3 linked regions of the Sus scrofa genome follow. The protein of the gene in region 2 interacts with the protein of the main gene of each other region in a pairwise test. Links are inferred from orthologs where the notes say so. Each region holds a gene or a part of one and is shown on either strand. Other genes may lie near its edges.

What was found.
Region 1: the proteins of SH3BP5 (region 2) and SOS1 interact in a two-hybrid assay, tested with the Homo sapiens proteins (2 studies listed by BioGRID and IntAct). The link is inferred for Sus scrofa from reciprocal best matches to the Homo sapiens genes SH3BP5 and SOS1.
Region 3: the proteins of SH3BP5 (region 2) and TNKS interact in a two-hybrid assay, tested with the Homo sapiens proteins (2 studies listed by BioGRID and IntAct). The link is inferred for Sus scrofa from reciprocal best matches to the Homo sapiens genes SH3BP5 and TNKS.

Annotation. Positions count from the first base shown.
Region 1 is NC_010445.4:101,346,678-101,353,777, reverse strand, and holds part of SOS1 (son of sevenless homolog 1), read right to left. Parts: intron 4,905-7,100; coding exon 4,732-4,904; intron 4,266-4,731; coding exon 4,149-4,265; intron 3,130-4,148; coding exon 2,865-3,129; intron 1-2,864.
Region 2 is NC_010455.5:2,581,162-2,589,048, forward strand, and holds the start of SH3BP5 (SH3 domain-binding protein 5), read right to left. Parts: upstream 4,441-7,887; 5' UTR 4,288-4,440; coding exon 4,147-4,287; intron 2,499-4,146; coding exon 2,436-2,498; intron 1-2,435. UniProt on the Homo sapiens protein: Functions as a guanine nucleotide exchange factor (GEF) with specificity for RAB11A and RAB25. Inhibits the auto- and transphosphorylation activity of BTK. Plays a negative regulatory role in BTK-related cytoplasmic signaling in B-cells.
Region 3 is NC_010457.5:55,676,772-55,684,670, forward strand, and holds the start of TNKS (tankyrase-1), read right to left. Parts: upstream 4,774-7,899; 5' UTR 4,709-4,773; coding exon 4,036-4,708; intron 1-4,035.

The sequences.
Region 1 (7,100 bases), on a different chromosome or scaffold from region 2:
GGTTTTCTTTAACACAAAGAAAGAGAAATTGAGAAAGTCCTCAGGGTTAAGATTACAAAGCCTAACTCCTGGTATGATGGTTTCTTCTCTTGTCCAGCTATCATAATGTTATTCCGATGCCACATATGACAAAAGCACTGATCTAGAGCACTGCATTCCAAAATGATTCCCTTTTCCCTGTTTAATTATTTAAAGATTTATCACTAGTAGGGAATGTAATAAGCTTTTCTCCTGTTTTTCCACCTCTTCCACTTTTAGCTACTTAAACTAAGAGAAATAGAATTTGTAATTGATGGCTTCTGGTGATTTCTATAATTCATTTATGTGAGAATCTTTATATTATAGATCACAGCCATCTGCTCTAGGAAAAAACACTGCAAACAGTTATATGGGTCAGAATAAATAATGACTTTAAGTCAGTTATACTTCAAAAAATGCTGGTTTTATTTTTTTAATATAGGATGTTGACAAGTTGGGAAAAATAGATAGGAATTTTTTTACCTATTATATTTGAACTTATAAAAAACATCCGATAGTCTACTATATGCATGACTCCATAATCCTCCTGTAGCCAAACAAAGCCAAGATACAGTAATTCTCAAAATAAATACACTTTAGATGGTAAAAAGTTAAACAGACTGCTTTGTAACTACAAATATATGTACAGCACAGGAATAAATAAATAGGATTTATATATTCCGGATCAAATCTCAAAATAACATACCTCCAAAGAATACTTTTTTTTTTGGTCTTTTTAGCTGCACCCATGGCAATATGGACATTCCCAGGCTAGGAGTCCAATCAGAGCTGAAGCTGCCAACCTATACCACAGCCACAGCAACACCAGATCTGAGCTGGGTCTGCAGCTCATAGCAATGCTGGATGCTTAACCCTGTCTGAGCGAGGCCAGGGATCAAACCTGCATTCTCATGGATACTAGCCATGACATTAATACTGAGCCATGACAGGAACTCCTCCAAAGAATACTTTTTTAAAAAGTTAGATTCTTGGGGGTTCCTGTCATGACACAGTGGAAACGAATCTGACTGGGAGCCATGAGGTTGCAGGTTCGATCCCTGGCCTCACTCAGTGGGGTAAGGATCCAGCATTACTGTGGCTGTGGTGTAGGCTGGTGGCTACAGCTCTGATTAGACCTCTAGCCTGGGAACCTCCGTATACCGTGGGTGCGGCCCTAAAAAAAAAAAGAAAAAGTTAGATTCTCTGAGTTGGAAGAAACCTTAAAAATCTAGTTTGGGAATTTCTGTTGTGGCTCAGTGAGTTAAGGACTCAAAGTTGTCTCTGTGAGGATGTAGGTTGGATCCCTCGCTCAGTGGGTTAAGGATTTGGTGTTGCCGCAACCTGTGGTGTAGGGTGCAGATGCAGCCTGGATCTGGTGTTGCCATGGCTGTGACCTAGGCAGCAGATGTAGCTCCAATTTGACCCCTGGTGTGGGAACTTCCATATGCTGCAGGTGCAGCTGTAAAAAGAAAAAAAGAAAAAAAAAGGAAAAAAAAAAAAAAGGAAAAAGGAGAGATCTAGTTTGATCTAGAGGGCGCAGAAAAAGTTTTTTTATCTAAAATGAGAAAGTTCACTGGCAGACTGAGATGACAAACTAGGATTCCTAAACTCCTACATCAGTGATTTTCAAGCTCCCCTCCAATAATGACGTCATGCTGCCTCTCAGTACTGGATCTTATTATGTCAAACACTAGAGCAGAAGTTGAACTGTACACTGAGCTAGACAGACAGCCAATGGGAAGACCATGTGGAAATGGTTATGAGAGTTAACCTTCATAACCTCATAAAGACAACTGGATTCAAGTTTTGATTTAATAATGAATAAATGAAAAAAGGTTGTGTGTTCTTAGCAGAGCTTTAAAGATCCATATAAAAATGATTAAAAAAATTAATGGAAGCAGGGTGCTCTAGATACAAAAAGTAGCCTCTTCAAAGGGCTGTACAGTTTGGTAGCCGTTAGCCATATGTGGTTTTTAAGCATTTGAATGTGGCTAGTCTAAATTGAGACATGCTGTAAGTATAAAATGCATACTGGATTTTGAAAATTTAGAACAAAAAGGGAGATGTAAAATAACTCAATGAGTTTTTATATGGATTTCAGGATTTCATGTTGAAACGACAACATTTTTGCATATACTGGGTTAAATAAATATTATTAAAATTAATTTAACTGAATTCTTTTTGCTTTTTAAAATGTAGCTATAGAACATTTAAAGTTACACATGTGGCTCACATTATACTTCTATTGGACAGCACTGATCTAGAAATAGGAAAACGATGAGCAATAGTATGCAGTCTGTGAGATTTGTATGGTTGGGCTTGAAAGCATAGGAGTGTATTAGCAGGCACTATATACCATCTGCTAGATGATGTAGACTAAGAAAGAGTTAAATAGGAGTTTGAATTTGATACACTGCACAGTTAGAAACTACAGAGTTTGGTGGGAAAGGGACCACGTACTGAGTAGTATTCAAATACAATTTTGGAGGCAGCATTTAAACTATCACTGACATTTCATGTAGGTTTTAGGTGTTATCCTTGTTTCCTCTGGAAGCTGGAGATGCCTTTACAATTTATCAACTGAAAACAAATGCTCAAATGAAGTTTCAATTATCAATTTCATCACCAGGTCTATTATTAAAGTATAATACATTTAAAGAAAGCTTTTCTAACAGATTTTTAAAAAAAACTCTAAGTTGCTGAAGTTTAAAATTTGTTTTATATTTTTACAATAATTTTTGACTTATCTACAAATTTACCAAAAAAAAATGTATATACAGACTTTTTACCTCTAGTGCATTTAATACTAACAATTACTTTAAAGCACTTAAAACTTGAGCACCTACTTGAGTGAAAAGGGCTTGAATGATCAGAATCAAATACGCTGCAAACATCTGTGGTACTAGAAGCACCAGAAGCAGGAGGAGGTGTTAACGGTGTTCTTGGAGAATTTGGTGCAGATGCTGTACTTTCTGTTTCACTTTCAGGGATCCTACTATAACTAATTTTCCTTGGCTCCTGCTGCAGAGGTGTGGGATGTCTCATGGTACCTGGTCTTGGGTTTGATGGACGAACGCCAGGAGATTTTAGGGGATAGTTGTATTTTTTTGGCTGCAGACATATCAAAAGAAACACAAGTATTTACAACACCATAATGGAAAAGGTTTTTCTATTCATGCCTAGTAAAATTCAACAAATATCTAGGAAAACCACAAATCACTAATAAAGAAGTTACATAATAAATCAAATCAAAGCATCCAAATTAAAAGCATTAGCATTCCATTTTCACAAAGCCTTGGCTATCTAAATTATTAGGTAATTAATTTCTTTAAATAACTGAGTCTTAGCCCTATAAATATCAGAGTATTTGTTATTTTGATATTTTTAGATGGAAAGCTTTCTAAGATATGTTGTCTATTTCTCTGGCTTTATTTCCAATTTGCTGTTTTTAATCCACCTTTTAAAAAACTGTTTAGGCCTTGAGAAATTTTCTTGTGAGGTAATTTCATAAGCTTTAGATCACAGACATTATGAAAATTTTCTTGGTTACTTAGAAGCCATTTATGTTTAGTTCTTGATTACTGACTTTCTTATGAATAACAGAGATTCTATTCAGAACTGTGAGATGCTAATACTGTACATAAATTTGGCCAGACACTTATAAGTAATAAACAATGGAAACTTTATTTCCCTCCCCAAAGTATCTTTAGCCAAACCTGTTATTTTTACAGCTAATGATTCATGGTTAAAAGTTCTCATAAGCCATTATTTAAAAAAAAGTCTTAAGTATATATATTTATTATAAGTGAATTAATATAAATTAACCAAATTTTCTGCTCTTAAAATCTTGAACATTTTGGGGTGGGGGGTTAAAAAAAATCTTGCATGTTTGTGCAACTTCTTCATCTATTATATTAGGATTTATTCACATTAATATTAGTGTCCATTTACTTGGAACTAAGTGGAATAATCCTGAGCATTTTTATTAAGCACTTATTCACTATTTTTATCCATTACATGTGTACTTCATCTCTGAATGCTTTTACAGAAAACTATAAACCGCCAGATATACATGACAACTGCAAAAAAATACACAAATGTGAAAGAAAAATAAATATATGAATGCTTACAAATCTTGGGAGAGGTTTAGGGTTTCGTGGTTCTATTTCTAGGGATTTGTTGAAAAGATAATCTGTAAATTCTTTTTCCATGCTACTTCCCATTGGATTCAAGTTTTCAAAGAACCTCTAAAATGCAAAGAAATAAACAACTCTTAACATTAAATACTTTAAATTCAGTTTGAAACTCATGAAAACAATTTAAGATGGAATTATTTAAGTTTTGTTTTCCTTTTTCTCTTCTATGAAATAAACCTGCCTCTTATCAGGTATTTATAAACTTAATCAGAAATATGTATCCTTGGAGCTCCCATCATGGCTCAGTGGTTAGCAAACCTGACTAGCATCTATGAGGAAACGGGTTCGATCCCTGGCCTCACTCAGTAGGTTAAGGATCCGGCATTGCCGTGAGCTGTGGTGTAGGTCGCAGACTCAGCTTCGATCCAGCAATGCTGTGGCATAGGCTGGCAGCTTCGGCTCTGATTGGACCCCTAGCCCAGGCACCTCCATATGCCGCAGGTGGGGCCCTAAAAAGACAAAAGACGAAAGACAAAAAAATAAAAATAAAAATGTATCCTCAAATAATTCAACTTACTTTGATATCTGATTCTACTCGTAAACAATAAGGCTGATTTTGGTACTGCTGGATCTCGCCTGTTATTTCTGCCACTTTCCTCCTTTTGCTAAAGTTTATAAGCTCTTTTCCATGCCTTTTTAGGACCTCAGGGTTGCCTTCTTCTGTTTTCAAGATATTAGTTAGATAAATTCCTAGAAGATATAATGAAATTATTTCAAGGATAAAAAAGGAAAAGGCTAGTTTTCTTCTTTCTCAGTAATTATAGGCATATTATTACACTGTACCATCTCAATTACTATAACCAAAGAATTAAGGAACAAACAACAAGCTAAGTAAATTTTTTTAAGTATCAAAAAAATATATGTATGTATTAAATACTTCTATGACATGTTTTATAAATACCTAAGAAAAGGGGAGGCCAATTTTAACAAAATTAATAGACTTTTAGGAGGAATAATCTATTTTCCATCCTCCCTCCCCAAACCATATGTTATTTGACATAAGTCATGGTTTTGTAAAAGCACTTTAAGAATAACCCATCACTAATGACACATATTTTTGACAAAAGAAGAAAATAGTAAGTTCAGAGGATTGTATTTTCTGCTTACTCAGCTCTTGAGGCAACCTCTGCAAGAGGTTATTAGGATTTGTAATTCAGAGGCTGTACTGTTTGGATAGGCTTACTCATGAAAATGTGGAAGGATGTTGCAAGCCTATCAAACACAGGACTGCATAGAATTTACGTATATTCTGGTCTTCAGTACTTTGAAAATTATGGCAACCTGTAAGGGAGCTCCTGTTTCCCTATCATTGCAGGATGTGCACTGATGGGGAGGAGAATGAATAAAACAACAGGCACTTTAGTTCTTTACACAGCTTTCTGGTACCAGGAGCATTTTAGTTCCTTTCTGTTCTAGCATAAAGGTTCTGAAGCCGGCTCTGCTGTTTTCCACTTTTGTGATGCTGTGTAAATTGTTTAGCTTCTCTGTGCTTTGGTTTGCTCATCTGTAAAATGGAATGGCAGGGTTGCTGTGAGAAATAAATGAGTAGATTTATGTACTAGCTTAGAATAGGGCCTGACAAAAGTAGATGCTTAATTAGCTATGGTTGTGATTGCTGATGCTGTTTCTATTTGTGCCCTATTCTCTTATCTCTGCCTTTTCTTCTAAAATACTGACTGTGATGCTTTGGGGGAAAAAAGAGCGTGAATATATGAATTCATTCACTCAGTACACATGTACTGAGTCTCTGCTGTATGCTAAGTACTATAGATATAAATATGAGTAAGACACACAGTTCCTGACCTCAAGAAGTTCAAGAGCTTTGAATATGGGTTACTACTACAGCACCATCTGGTAAGTGCTATACTAATCAGTACCAATGGATAAGATGCTATGAGAGCTCTGTCTTGAGCTACTGGGAGTAGAAAAAGCATCACGGATTAAAATATGCTTAAAGTAAGTATCAAAAAATGAATATAAGTTTAATAAGTGGAATAAGATAGAGGGGCATTTTAAGTGGAGCAGCCATGTGTTTGAAGGCACTAGTCTCTGGTGAAGCTTGGAAGGCATACTCAGAAATGCTGTGTGGTATGGCTAGACCTTAGCCGTTTGGTGTAATGGTGTGTGGGATGGAGGAAAAGTGGCAGGATATGAGGATAGGCACAAGTTAAGGGATTAGTAGTTCTAATTCCTTTCCCATCATTGCAGGTTATGCACTGGATGAGAAGAATGAACAAAGAAATAGGCACTTCAGTTACAATCATAGATCAGTGGTTCTAAAATGACTTTGTGGTAAAGGCAAACTTTTAAATACTAGAATTTTTGGCCATATTCTTGGAAAGATTAAACGACTCAAAAATCAATAGTGAACAAATTAACAATAATGAAACATGATAAAATCAATGCCTATTTGGTTCTAGAGTATCCAGTTATTATTCACTTGGCTATTTCTCAGCAACTCGGCAACCTTGGCCACTCCTGATTATATATTCATGAGACAAAATGATCGTATGTTCTAGTAAGCATGGGCTCTTTTATTTTCCATATCTGCCTATCACTGGCTCATTTACTTGCAGTCAGTTATATTCTATTCTACACTAAGTTGCATAATTCACATAACCTTCAGTGTGACAAACGTCCATAATAGTACACATATTTCAAGCAGCCAAAATCAATTTTCCATATTGGATACAAACTGATGGCCCAACTGTGAAGAATTTGTGGGTAGTAGCACCTGTACTGGAACATAAAGAACCTTTTTTTAAAGAGCTTAACTTTAATCCAGTGAGAAATTAGGAGATTATTAGAATCGCTACCTTTTAGAATGATTATTCTGGCTGTACTGTGAAGCTAGATGGGATAGAAGAAGTAAAGACTACAAGCAAG
Region 2 (7,887 bases):
TCTGACATCCAGCAAAACTTTCTACAATGATGGAAGTCCTCTCTGATCTGTCCAACACAGTGCCTAGAGAGCCCTTGAAATGTGGCTACTGTGACTGAAGAACTGAATTTTTTTGAAGTCTGATTTAATTGTAATTAACGCAAATTCAAAAGTCATGTGTGGCAACTGGCCGCCATCCTGGGCAGCACAGGTCTAGGCTGCTGTGACAGGCTAGAAAGAGATGAAGCTGGTGAAAACACTTTGGAAACACCAAATCTTGATAGAAAAGGTACGGGCTGAATGTATTATGAACCTGATATTCTCAGTATGGACATCCCTAAAAAAACTAAAAACAGAGCTGCTGTGATCCAGCAATCCCAGTCCTGGGCATGTATCCAGAGAAAACCATAATCTGGAAAGACACATGCACCACCAATGTTTATACCAGCACTATTCACAACAGCCAAGACATGGTAGCAACCTAACTATTTATCAGCAGAAGAACAGATAAAGATGTGGTACATTATGGAATACTACTCAGCCATGAAAAGAATGAAATAGCGCCATGTGCAGCAACACGGTTGGACCTAGAGATTACCATACTAAGTGAAGTAAGCCAGACAAAACAAATGCCATATGCTATCACTTATATGTGGAATCTATAAAAAAATGATACAAGTGAATTTATATACAAAACCAAAATGGCAAAAAAAACCCAGAAATAGACCCACAGACATAAAGAACACACCTGTGGTCGCCAAAGTGGAAGGGGAAGGGATGGATAGGGAGTTTGGGATTAGCAGATGCAAACTATTATGTATAGAATGGACAGACAACAAGGTCCTACTGTAGAGTACAGGGAACTAAAAATCAGTATCCTGTAGTAAACCAAAGTGAAAAAGAATATGAAAACTAATTTTTTATATAGGTACAACCGAATCACTTTGCTGTAGAGCAGAAATTAACAACACTATATATCAACTATACTTCAACAAATTTTTAAATTTTTAGTTAAAAAATAAAAAATGAAGTAAATAAAATTACAAATTTTCTTTAAAAAAAAAAACTGTGATTCTGAGAGATTTCAATTTCCCAAGAGACTTCATTCACCACACATGAAAAAAATTGAAACCTGCAGATTTGACTTCACTTGGGGAAGAAGAGTAGCCAGTGTTCACAGATACCTCTCGTCAGAACAGAGCGGCTGGCAAGACCCCTTCGTGCACAGCTCAGAAAACCCACTTCAACCCTCCAGGGCCACTCTAGGTTCTGTATCTCCAGAGCCTGGACATGCAGGCAGAAATCAAGGTTGCTCCTGTGTTGCGGAGGAGATGGCATTCCTATCTCCCACTCCTGACTCACAGGGACCAGCGGTGTCCTGCCTTTTCCACTGACCTTCCCTGCATTCTCCCTGCTACAAAAACAGGTCCTCCCACAGCAGTTCTCAGACAGAAGTGGGGGTTGTTCAAGTTGGCTGATGGTTGGTAAAACCAACTGCTGCTGAAAACGATGGGGACAAACTAGGACCTGTGAAGAATGTTCATCTCTTTACACTCAGGTTGGAAGATACTCATGAAATTCAAATTGAGGTCCTGTCTCCCAAGATTTTTCTGAGCAGGAAAGCCCTTCCCAGTCTGAACAGCTTTTCATGGAGTTCCCATCGTGGCTCAGAGGTTAACGAATCGAACTAGGAACCATGAGGTTGTGGGTTTGATCCCTGGCCTTGCTCAGTGGGTTAAGGGTCTGGCGTGGCCGTGAGCTGTGGTGTAGGTTGCAGACATGGCTCGGATCCTGCGTTGCTGTGGCTCTGGCGTAGGCTGGCAGCTACAGCTCCAATTCGACCCCTAGCCTGGGAACCTCCATATGCCGCGGGAGCGGCCCAAGAAATGGCAAAAAGACAATAAATAAATAAAAACAGCCTTTCATTACCATTGAGATGATTATATTCCACGCACAAGCAGTCGATAAATAAAGGGGTAGAAGCGGGGTAGGGGTGTGGGGGGAGGGAAGGGTTCTCAGCCCAGAAAGTCAATAAAGATCTAAATCTTCCTAAGGAAACACACACTATTTCCAAGCACCAATGTAAGGAGCTCCCTTAAAATGCTTAAGAGATTTGTGTGACCTCATTCACTCCTGTCCATTGAAGTACACAGCCAATTTCCCCTTCAGTCCTTTTAACTTTTCCACAGACACATTAACTTCAGGGCTTAAGTCTGTGTAAAGCCCTTGCTTTTGGCCCCATGGAGGTTCCATGATTAAAAAAATATATATGAAATTGGATCCACATGTGTTCCACCCACAAGCTGGACTCAGTGGTGTATTTATTCTGTCAGACGCAGGCTGTTGCTCAACTGCGAAAGTGAATGCCAGCAACCACCTCTTAAAACAAAATGAACCAGCCTGGTGTCAGAGAGACAACGCCACTTCCCCAAAAACAAGCACCCAGCTTTCTGTACCTCAAGTTCAGTCTCCCGTCTGTTGATATCATCCGTGGATTGATTTAACTTCTCCAGTTCTCCCTGATGAAGAAAAGGGAGAGAAAAAGCTTTCAGGGATTGTCTTTTGTTCTGGTATGACTCTGCCCCCCTCCCAACCTGCAAAATTACTCCAGCATCATTTGCAGGAAGAGGAACCAGTCAGTATTAATTTTCAAGGAAAACAGTTGAGCCTTGGCTAAAGAACAAATGAAATGTCAGCATTTCTGAAACCTTTATCTGGGTGGTAGCCCTTCTGAAAATGACTAAGGTCCGAGGAATTTTCTTTTCTTAGAAGGTCAAATATTTTATTCCAGGTATGTGCCTTCAGGTAAACTCACCTGTTACAATGATTTAAGGGCTGAATCCAAACAATAACCCTCTGCTTTAGAGCAAAAACTTGCAGGAAAAAGAAAAAAAAAAAAAAAAAACCCAAACCAGTAAGAGCAAGCAAACAAAACCATGCCAAAAGTAAAAACCCAGTGAAATGATTTATATCAAGGCAGAATTCTGGCACTTACTCATCCATGGTTGAGTATTTTTCTTTAGAGACGAAAATCTTTTCAAACTGCCAATTATTCAACCTTCCTAGCTGTTTACAAAACAAACTAAAACTAACATAAACATTGATCTTTAAATAACATTTACAAACTGACATTTTGTTTAAAAAAAAAAAAAGTGCCCAGTATGAAGTTAACTCATTTTACTCTGCAAACAAAGGATCTTGTCAACAGAATTCCCCTACCCAGAAAACAAAATTTAGTAGTTCAAACTGATTTTATTTAGAATTCCTAATGTAAAGATTTTTCCACCTGATCTTTGTCTTGCTAACCTGCCGTAACAATTCATTTAAACGCCAACAGCTGAGTTAAATGAGCTTTTAATTGATCTGCGCACTGAAAAACCAATTAGGTCTTCAGAAATCGCATCGCGTGCTGCAAAACAATATTTATTTTAAAAAATGATTTATGGAAAGAGTCTTGGAACGGAATATGCTGTGCTTTTTCCCCAGAGGGTGAAGAGGTTAAGCTGTCGCTGCTAGATCTCGGCTTGGAAACTGTCTTTTAATCATCTCCCAGAGAAATGGAGGCAAGGAAGCCAGGCCAATCCCCTCGCCTTCTCGCCACGTTAGCTTTGCGCTGTTAGCCCCCAATTTCTGTTCACTGCCGACCTCAAAAGGAGGAAACGCTGGGTTTTAAACCATTTGAGGCCAAGCGGAGGGCTGAGCCGTGGTGACAATAAACCCTTCGTCCTGCTAACAACGAATCAAAGCAAGAGGGAGAAGGCTCAGGCAGGCTCAGGCCGGGCACCTCCGCCAGGTGAGTGCTCCGAACCCCAAGCATGAGAGGCCACCCTGCTGCAGGGGCGGCGACGCCCACCGCCCCCGGCCCGCGCCCACGCGGCCCTCGGGCTCCGGGAGCCCGGCGTGGCGCCCCCGCCCCCTTTTCTCTTTGTTGCACACCCTCCCGAGCCGCCGGACACGCTGCGGCGACCCCACGGATCCTGCGGGGTAATCCCCGCGATAGAGTCAGGCCGCGTCCACGCGGGCACCGCAGCCTCCCAGGAACCGGGTGAAGCCGGGTACTCTGACTGTCTCCTCCAGCCCCGGACCTACGCGGCCACCTCTCCCGGGTGCAAGCACCGGGGACCGCGAGGCGGGCTCAGTGCCATTGCCGGGATCCACGCGCCCTACCTGTATCCGGGGGTCCACTTCTTCCTCCTCCTCCAGCCCTGGCTCCATCCCCTCCTCCTCCTCCTCCTCCTCCGAGTCCCGGGCTGGCGGCGGGAGCTCGGCCGCCTCCTCCGGCCGGCTCCGCTTCGGCGCCGCGTCCATGCGGGTGGCCGGAGAGCGAAGCGAACGGCGGACTTCGGAGCGCAGGAGTGGCGTTCGCAGGCTGGGCCGGGGCCGTCTGGCCACCGCCCGGTGCGCTCTGGAAGCGCCGCTTGCTGCCGCGGGTCCCCGGCCCCGAGCAGGAGGAAGTGGGCGCGGCCGCCCCCTGTCCGCCGCGGCAGTAAGCGCAGCGCCGCCCGCTCCGCCCCAGGCCGGCCCGCCCGCCCTGCGCGGCCCCAGCTATGGCCCCGGCACCCGGGCTCCGTCACAAAACCTCACTCCCGGAAAACCTTAGGGTCGTGAAATGGAGGAGCCCTCACCCCTTTTAACTTAGCAGCCCGGAGAGATCACAAGCTCCCCAACGTCAGCCGCCTGGTGACAAGAGTGCTTTTCTCCCTCCCTCCTCTGCCCAGGCAAACTAACTGCTTGGAAGGGAAGTTAGGGGTATTGCCACTGTCTGAAGTCACCTTTAGAAGCTGGTATTCAGTGACCCGGGACCAGTTTCAAGACTCACTCAAACTCCTGTATACACTGGAAGCGCTTTGCCCCCGTGGGTGACCTTGGGAATTGAATCCACCTGAAGATTTCCCCAGAACAGGGAACTACAACATATACTCACATAAACACAAAAGGATAAAGAGAGGAGCCAGCTGCAGCTCCATGCGTGGATTCTTGGTCCAAAGGCTGTGGCCCCCACTGGGCCAAGCTACGTGCTTTTCGATGGGTTAGGTGATCCTCCCTGAATAGCCAGGACGCATGGAAAATCCACAGATCAGTGGGTGGGTACAGCCTTCTCAAGAAGATGTGAGTGTGTGGAGTTCCCATTGTGGCTCAGTGGGTTAAGGACCTGACAGTGTCACTGTGAGGAGATAGTTTCAATCCCTGGCCTCGATCAATGAGTATGGTTCCAGCCTTGCTGCAGGCAACCATAGGTTGCAGATGCATCTCGGCTCCCACCTTGCCTGTGGCTGGTGGTGTTAGGGACCTAGCTGCAGTGCTGATTCAACCCCTAGCCCAGGAACTTCCATATACTCCAGGGGTAGCGGGAAAAAGAAAAAGAAAAAAAGATGTGAGTGTAACCCCTGTTAATGGACACACTCTGTCCAAGGATTTATGAGCTAGTAAGTTTTCCTGCCCACCCAAACAGGTAGGGAGCCAGAACTTACTTGCCTGGCAAACTCAACATCACAAAAAGCCAAAGAATAAGGGTATATCTGTGCTTTTATGAAATGTCAGATCCACTGTGATGTCAGGGGAGCAGAAAGTCAGATGACTTTAGTGAAGCAGGCAAGGACATTGCCACTGGCCATTGCTAATGTCTCCTTCACTACAAAATTGCAGGGTGTACACACTTCCTACATGGAGGCTCGTGGCCCATGGGCTCTGTGAGTTTGAAGGGAAGACTTGCTTGAGAAAGGAGCTTCTTTCTGAGAGCCTGTCATTAAAGCCAAGCTTGGAAAAACCTGCTTATAATGGTTTTCTGAAAGGCTTAGTTGGAGGGGGGTGTTTACTCTTTGGGCAGGCTTCCACCCTACACACTCAGACACTGTGGTCCACTGTCAAAGAACCTTTGTTGTCTCCTGGAAGTAGAGCCTTGGGTTTGTTTCTAAACAGGTCACACCTGTTCATTGTTCTTTAAATCAAGGAAGCGTCAGCAATTCTTTGAGAGATGTTCTCAAGCTCCTTGCTAAACACATGGTTGCATTTCGTTTTCCAGTGGTAGGTGAAGTCAGGATCAAGACGGCCATTAAGAGTAACTGTTGTGGCTCAGCGGGTTACAAACCCAACTAGTATCCATGAGGATACGGGTTTGATCCCTGGCCTCACTCAGTGGGTTAAGGATCTAGCATTGCCATGAGCTGTGGTGTAGTTCGCAGACGCAGCTTGGATCCAGCATTGCTGTGGCTGTGGTATAGGTCAGCAGGTGCAGCTCTGATTTTTCCTGTAGTCTGGAAACTTCCGTATGCCTCAGATGTGGCCCTAAAAAACAAAACAACAACAACAACAACAAAAGAGTCACTTTAGGACACAAGAGCCACCAGTGTTTCCTTGGTGGCTCAGGATTGAGCCTATAACTGAGCAGTTTCATCCTGATTGTGAACAAACTGAGACAGAGGTTGAAAACAAGGAAAGTGAGGTCAGCCCTGGTTCTAAATGCTTCTCAACTCAAACAACAGCCTCCAAAATACATTTCTATTTAAGCTTGGATCTAAGAGCAATAGGGTGGCTCAAAATGCCTCTATGGGACATAGGGAAACTGCTCTAGAACCTCAGTTTAGACTTTGGTTGTGGATGTTGTTGTTGCTCTTTTAGAAGACCTGGACCAGCCATAGCATGAATCCCAAATAGTGTTCTGAAGCTAAAATAAGGAAAATAAACCACTGCGGTACGATGTATTTCATTACATACATATGCACATCGCTGTATAGGAAAAAGGTTTAAAAGGAAGGATTCATACCCAACAAAGGATGGCTAGCCCTGGAAAAGGGAGGGAGGGGCCAAGATTGGCTAGGATTGGGGGGTGGTCAAAGGGAACTTTTAATCGCTCGATATTTTCTTTTCTTTTCTTTTTCTTTTTTTTTGTCTTTTTAGGACCTCACCTGCAGCATATAGAAATTCCCAGGCTAGGGGTTGAATTGGAGCTGCAGCAGCTGGCCTACACCACAGCCACAGCAATACCAGATCCAAGCCAAATCTGTGACCTATGCCACAGCTTGTGGCAATGCCAGATCCTTAACCCATTGAGCGAAGCCAGGGGTCAAACCTGCATCCTCATGGGTACTAGTCAGGTTCTTAACCTACTGAGCCACAATGGGAACACCTCAATCATGTTTTCATTTTTTACAAAGAGGGTAGGTATATTTATGATTATTTGTATATTTCTAAAATAAATTTAAAACAATGCATAATGTATTCATTTTCTACTGCTGTGTCACAAACTACCACAAATTTAGTGGCTTAAAACAACACTCATTTATTGCCTCATAGTTCTGTAGGCCTGACGTTCGGACCTGGTGTGACTCTCTTCTCTGCTCAAGGTCTCCCAGACTGATTGCAGACATCAACCAGCCTATATTCCTTTCTGAAGGCTCTGAGGAGAAAATCGTTCCAAGCTCATTCAGGTTCTTGGCTGAATTCACTTCCTTGTGGTTGTAGGACTGAAGTCTTCATTTCCTTGCTAACTACCAGCCAAGGACCAACCTCAGCTGCTGGAAACTGCCTGCATTCCTGACCACTTGGCCCCTCCAACTTCAAAGCCAGCAGTAGAGATTTCCTGTGTGTCGAGTCCCTCTGATACTTCAATCTCCTCTTCAGGAAGACCCCAGTCCCTTTGAAGGATTTGCTTGATTAGGTGGGGTCCACCCAGAATAGTCTCCCATTTTTCAAGGAGAGGGTTTTGCCATATTTACCACCTAGTCACTGCCGTGACTGACCTGTCATATTCACAGGTTCCCAGCATTGTACGGGAATACGTACAGTAGGGGGCAGGAAATGGGGTAATCCTAAACTTCCGCCTACCTCACATGCTAATAATGCAAGCCATGTAAGTGGCTTGTAACCCAAGCAAATGCTTAATATTTATTTTCGCCACCATACTGTTCT
Region 3 (7,899 bases), on a different chromosome or scaffold from region 2:
TAAAGTAACTTAAATTATATATTCTAATCCAAGCCATATTAATTAACTACCAGGAAGCTTGTTTCAGAATTTCTTCAATTTAAAGTAAATACTATGAAGTTTCAGAATTCAATGCTTTGTTAAAGACTTCATCTGAACTTTTCTTTTAAAAAAGAGTCCTCATTAGAATATACTGACCTTTTAACAAAAACGTGTTGCTACTAGGACCTGAACCAAGGGAATACATCACTCTAAATTGATGCTATTTCTAAAGTTTTGACTACTGTTCTTTGAGCAGTGGGAAACCAGAGTCAATGATCTTATTTGTAGAAGAAAAAGTCTTATATAAGCTCTAGTCAACAATAAACGACCAGATAATTTTGATATGGCCATCTTAAGAAGGCATTTGAAATAGTACTTAAAGAGTCTCTGTATCAACAGTGAAAACTGGGAGTTCCCGTTGTGGCTCAGTGGTTAATGAATCTGACTAGGAACCATGAGGTTGCGGGTTTGATCCCTGGCCTCGCTCAGTGGGTTAAAGATCCGGTGTTCCCGTAAGCTGTGGTGTGGGTTGCGACTCGGATCCTGTGGCTTTGGTGTAGGCCGGAGGCTACAGCTCCTATTCGACCCATAGCCTGGGGACCTCCACATGCTGCGGGAGCGGCCCTAGAAAAGGCAAAAAGACAAACAAAAAACAAAAAAACAGTGAAAACTGAAGATTGTGTTTCCAACTGTGGGCAGGGTGATTCCATTATTAATACTGGAGCTATATTTTATTTTATTTTTTTGTCTTTTTAGGGCCACACCTGTGGCATATGGAAGTTCCCAGATTAGGGGTCTAATTGGAGCTACAGCAGCTGGCCTAGGCCACGGCCACAGCCATGAGAGATCTGAGCTTTGTCTGAGACCTACACCACAACTCACAGCAACGCCAGATCCTGAACCCACTGAGTTGGGCCAGGGATCAAACCTGTGTCCTCATGGATGCTAGTCAGATTGATTTCCACTGAGCCACAATAGGAACTCCTCTAAGCTATATTTTAAACAAATAATTATCATGGTCCAAAATAGGATAGAAAGGAGTCTTAATTCTGCTGGAAAGAATTACGGTTACTCTTGTGTTAATTTTTTTTTAAGGCATAAAGATTTAAATATGACTTCATGCCACTGCAATGAAACATAAAAACAGTTTCATTTCATTCTACAGAACTATACTCATCTTTAAATGGAAATAAAGGCAATAATTAACATATTTTCCTTCCCATTTTGCTTGGCTAGCTTGGACTCATTCTTTAAATACCTGCTTTAAAAAACAAAAAATCTCTTTATCTAGAAAGGCTTCTTTAAATTATCTAAAACCAGGGCAAGAGAATCTACTGCCTGCTCCAAAAGACAGTACAGTATACTTCTCCCATCACTCTAAGTTACATAGCCTGTGGTGTTTTATTGTTGTTGTTGTTACTTAGTTTTCCCCATTACACTGTAAGCTCCATAAGGGTAAGGACTATCTGCCACTTCAAAACTGCTTCAGTATTTAACACCTGACCTATAAATAATAATAGACGTGTGGAACAAAAGAACTATAATTTTTAAACTTTTCTATTCAAGAAACTGTACCAATTTCCTACCTTTAAAACAGCTCATCCGTGACATTCAGTGACTAGCATTCTAACCAACTAATAGTCAATAGAGAATTACTTTTTAACTACCCAGCCTACACAGGACAGAAAAGACTAGATTTAACAAAGCTTTAATGCTATAAACACAAACATGAAAGCAGTAAATTGACTATAGGGTTTTTATACCAGGGGAAGTTTTACTGTTTTTGTTCTGTTTTCCACACTGAACTAACAAAAATTATTTTTTTCCCCCTAAAAAAACCAGTTCAAGATTAGGGTCTTAAAACTACAACATAATTATAGGACTGTTTTACTGTTTATCTGTGTATCTTATCTGGTTACACATAAAACTCTAAAATAGAATAAAAAGTAACTATTGTGGCAAACAGAAGAGGTGAATTTGAAGACAAGCACTATTTTAAGTGTGGCTAACCCTAAATGAGTACATTATTACACAAATTAATATAACTATCATCTGTTAGTGATTACTCATAATAAAGTATGGCAAGAAAAAACAAGATTTGTGAAACAATGTGTTAAAATAGTCAAATTTGGAATAAAGTCTGCAAAAGCAAACAGTCCCACTTGATTCATTATGGATATTTCATTTGGCCCAAAGGAAAAGATATGTAAGTTCATTTCAAATAAGCAACACCCCTGAGCATGTATGTACTTAAATGGAAGCCTGTTTATGATTTAGTTCACTACAGTCCTAACAGTAGTGTCTATATTTCAAGAATGGATCTAGCAATCTAATAATGATTTCCTGTAAGTGTTTCTCATATTGCTGATCATGACTCATTAATGGGATCACAAACAGCAGCGTTTGTAAGAAAGGAAATGGAATAGGATATAAAATATCAGAGTAGAACACATGTAGCAAGGGAAAGAATTGTTTCCTGAAACTTTTGATTCAGTTTGTGTGTGTGACAATGTAAAATACATTGTTAGGAATAGGTATGGGCTGCAAAAGAACAACAACAACAAAAAAGGTGTGAACACTACCCTTAGAGCATATGACCTCAATTATCTCTTCCCTCCAAACACTGCCAAAGTAGAAACTCATCACAATTATGCTCAAAAAAGCAAAGTGACATTAAAGGAGATATAGATTATACTGTTCAAGCCTTCACAAACTCTAACATCAAACTGTCTGAGTTTAAATCCAGGTCCCACTATTTCTGTGTGAACATAGGCTTATTTAAGCAGTATGTGCTTCATTTTTGTCATCTGTAAAATGGGAATAAAAATATTTTCCAAGTTGTGGTAAAAATAAATAATACATTTAGTAAGTTCTTAACATATGCCTACCATCAACAGAACAAACCGAAAGAGTGATACATATTAGAAATACAGCAAGAAACTTAATAAAAGCTTCGGTGTACTATCTTTGATGTGTGTGTGTGTGTGTTGCTTTTTCATTTTATCTATTTCTGTATTATATGAATTTTATAATGTACGTTCAACACATATTTCTAATGTACACAATATTATTACCTTTACTTTAAAAAATATCAATAGTAGGTATCTAGGCAGTGAGATTAAGATCCTTTTTGCTTCATATTTCTTTGTATTTAATAAAGATACATTAAGCGTTTTAAAATTAGTCAACTACTTGCTCAAAAAACAAAACAAAACAAAACCCCCCACAAAAGTGTATAGTGGTCCAGGGTTTAGGAATTAACATTCTGGGGGGAGAAGTTACCTGCCAGATGCTTCTCACTAAATCCCCACACAACCTTAGTATATCATTTTTGCCCACGAGAAAACAGAGGCAACAGAGATAAGGTAAACTGCGTTAGGCAACTACAAATAGCAGTGTCCAGAAATTCAAAGCCTATATTTCTTCTGCCATCATATAATGCTTCCAAATATTTTTTCGGTTGTTTCATATAGGCATGTCTTGAGCTACCCAATTAGACTGTAAACTCCTTGAAAAGGAGGGAAAGTTTCACTAACTTCATTTATGTATCCCAGGGGCTAAGAGGTAAATACTTGCTGAGTTACACTGAACTTCTTTTGGTCTAACTGTCCTCATGGGACATACTCTGGTAAAAACGAAATAAATTAGCAAACAAATGACAAAACCACTCTAAGACTGTTCAAATCTAACTTTATTCCTACACAATTGGAACAAAAAAAGTTTAAGTATACCCATATCCTGAGACTACCACTAAAGGAGTTTGGGGATGGGTACAAGGATTACTGTGCAAACACTAAAAAGAATGGATTCACACACACCCCTACCACGCCCCCGTCACCCAGGCACTACCTAAAGAAAGGAACCTCTAGTCTTCCCAAGAGGTGCTGATGACCCATAACCACGCCTCCACTGTTCCATCATAACTTGTTTCCTTTCCCTACCCGGACCACCCCTACCACCCACTCCCCGGTCCCAACATCAAAGCCCTTAATAAGCAATTTAAAAGTCTCTGACCTGCAGCGAAGTGCAGGGGAGAAGATTTCCGGCCGGCCATGTCCTTAGCATTCACGTTTGCTGCGTCCACCAGCCTCTTTACCCGGGACACGTCCCCATTGCGACAGGCCTCCAACAGTTCCCGGAGGGCCCCGCTCACTGCTGAGACCCCTGGCCCAGGTCCGGCTGTCCCAGGCCCCAATGTTGCTGTGGTGCTAACTCCGGCCGCCTCGGGGCTCTCCGCCAAACTCGATCCGGGGGAGGATGGAGAGGAAGAAGAGGAAGAAGTCGGGGAAGAAGAGGACGACGGTGAATTGTTACTGCCACCGCCGGCTGGATTGGGAGCGACACCGACGGCAGATGAGGCGGAAACCGCCGGGACCACTGGAGCGGCGGCGACAGTACAGATTGTGCTGGTGGTACTGCAACAGCTGCTACTGTCAACCGGGTCCGGGGATCGGGGCCTGTCGGGCGGATCCCGACTGCCATCCCCCTCCGGCAGCGCTAGGCCGTGCCGCGGGGAGGCGAAGGGTGCCAGGCCACCCACCGTAGGGGAGGCTGGGGTAGTCCCCGGGGCCAGGCCTGGGCTGAGTGGGGGGGGAGGTGGCGGCGGCGGCGCCGAAGCCCCTGGGGCGGGCTGGAGCTGTTGTTGATGATGGTGGTGATGATGCTGAGAGCGACGCGACGCCGCCATCTTCAGACTCCCCCAGCTCTGTCACTGCGGCAACGGCCCCACCGCCCGCCCTCACTTCCGACTTCTGGACCAATTAGCACCCAGCGCACAGGAAATGATGCTAGGCAGAGTGGGCGGGGTCAAGTAGCGGGAGGGAAGTATTTGGGAGCTCCGAGCGCCGCCGCGGGAGGGGCGTGGCTTGTGACTGCCGGGGGGCAGGGGGGGCCTTGTGACTCCTTGGCGGGCCGGCTGGAAAAGTTTGAAAGTTGGAACCGGCCTGGGCCTAAAAATGGGAAATTTTTCCTGCATTTCTCACGTTCAGCCTACTTATTTTGCTCCGTTCCCTCCTGTTGCCAAGTCTCCTTTGGTCTTCTTTGTCTTGCTCAAGAGCCTGGTACTGAGGTGGAACTTTGCAAGGTGCGTATGTGTCGTTTCTCATCTATCAAGTGTCCTCGTCTGAAAAAGGGACTCGTATCTAGAATTGTTAGCAGGATTAAGTGAGCTAACATATATAAAGTGCTCTGTCCCTTAATAAAGCACAACTATAATTAGCCCACTGGTAAATTTTTTTTAAATGCAGTCTCTCCCCACCCCCACCCCCACCCTCCAGTTATTCCCTTGGTCTCTATACCCCCTCTCCATAAGATTTCGTACTTTATGTACTTCCTTAACGCCCCATTTGCAAATGGTGGTTCACATTGCCAGGATTGGAATTCAGACTACCAGAAGGAGCTGTGTAAATTTGGGCAAGCTATTTAAATTAACCCCTCTGTGTCTCAGGTTCCCCGCTGCAAAGGGGAATTGATAGTTCAATAAATGTTAACTATTACAATTACGGGTTTTTCAGTTCTCTCTGTAGTTTTGTTTCTCACCTTAAGCTTGACTCAGATAATTACAAATATGTTTTTTTTTTTTAATTCATTTTGGCTGACCTTCTCTATTCCTGTCATCCCTCTTCTCTCTCCCTTCCAAACTAAGAAAAAACCTGACTTCTCCATCCATCACTCACCTTCAGAAGCCATCCTTCAACAACTACTTTTTCTTTTTTTCCTCTGCCTATACTTATTTTTTTGTCTACCATCAGAAGAGATGGATCAATGAATGGCATAATCTCGTAAGGTCTCCATTTCCTGCCTTCTGTTTAATAGGAAAGTAGGCATTATGGAAGTTTAGACAAACAGCATTATTCCAAGAGAGTAGACACAGATGGAGATTGTGTCTTAAGGAAAGCTCATTTTAAATGAGTCAAGTAGAAATTTTGATTGGGAGAATACTAAACTATGTGATAAATTGTCGTTTGACATATTCATTATTAAATGTAATTAGTGTGATGCTAATATTCCCATCTAAATTAATAGGTAAATTTATTTAACACTACCATCTAAATACAACAAATCAGGAACATAATATTATTGGTGGACATTTATTGTCATTTAATTAAAATTATCCATTTGTTTTATAAATTTGGGCCATTGTTCACATATTGACAAATGTGTGGCTGGATAGGAAAACTCTATCAGTGTGACTAAAATCTGTCCACAACATACATTTTCCTGGTTTTGAACATTAATGCACAACACGAGGTAGCACTGAGGAGTATGGGTGAATCAACATGATGCATTACATGTCCACAACTCACTCACCTTGTGCCCCCCATCTATGACCTTCTCCCTGAGTGGGAGGCATAAAGAATTATCTCACCTAGCATCCTGATGGCCAGTTACTCATAGATCACAAGAAGCAGTAATGTTCGTCCTAATTCAAAATGGATCTATTACATCTTTTTATCAGTACCAAATAAATTCAAAAGTTTTGGAGGGATAGAGATAAAAAAAGCTGAATTGCCTAAAACTATTCTACTGGTAAACTATGTCTGAAAATGCATTCAATAAATTGGAAATTGCTTCTCCCTCCACCACTGAAAATTAGTAAAAGTACTTAACATTAAGTATTTATAATGTTTGCGTTTATATGGACTAATGTTGAGCTCTAAACATGAAAGACCAGATATCATTACCTAATCTTTTATAGCTAAACACAATTCCGTGAGGGATGCACTGTACCCTCATGAAAAGAGCAAAGCGTATAATAAAACAAACCTGGGCTTGAATCACATCTCTGATAATTCCTAGTTGGCTAATCTTGGTAGCTGTGTTTTAGATCTGTCATTCTAAAATTCTGATTTTATTGTACCATTGCCATGAGGAATAAAAGACCTAGGTGTTTTGTAAGCACATCTTGATTGTTAGTTTCATGATCTTATGTACTATGCATAAAGTGTTGATAGCCATTGTTGATAGCTCTCGCCTCACAACTTCCTTTATAAAAAAGACAGTGACAAAGATAAATATTCACTCTTTTGTATGTAACTGGAATCTTAAGCAAAGAAAAATCAGGTTTAATTATTTCCTCATCAGAAAATTCGAGATTCCTTACAGGCCCTTTCTCCAAGAATTATATTGTTGACCATCATATTTGTGTAGCATCTTACTATTTTCAAAAATGTTTTCAGAGAAATCATGTCCAAGTGATATAAAAACATGAGCCCATAATACTCTCTTAAGCCATATTGCTGACACTGAAAATGGAGTGACCAACTCAAAGGGTGCTCATCTTCTGGGCTATGTTGTGATGTTTGTTTTTCTCCCCATGGGACACACTTTGTAAGTTACACAGTCTCCATATTTCATCTAGACTCGATGTGGTTATTCCATCCACATGCTTCCCAATGATCTGCTCCAAATTCAGGTTCACTGGTAGTGTCTCCAATTTACAAGTCCACTTATTCTTCAGTGCTCTATGCCATGCCTCTTCTGCAACCACAGCACAAGCTAAAGCTATAATTTGGTGGAGGCAGTGCTATTTCCTCAGCTGGGGCTTAGAAGAAGATAATATCCTTATGTCAGAAATGCCGATGGTGCAAAAGGCCCAGATTTCTCTATGATGGTATTACCACTCAGCCGAAAGAGTGTTTAACTGAAGTTTCATCCAGAAACTCAGAAGAATCTTTTCTTGTAAAGCTATGGGGGCAGGGGGCAACAATTTCACCAGCTGCAATCATGCTAACCTCATTGTATCAGAGGAAATTTTATTAGAAAAGCAAAGCAACTATTGCAAGGCAGGAAAGTTACAGTAATTTAAAATCCCCTATATATTAGTTTACTGGCAACCCCCCGTTTAAATTTTCAGCTGCTTTATATCTTTTGCATAGC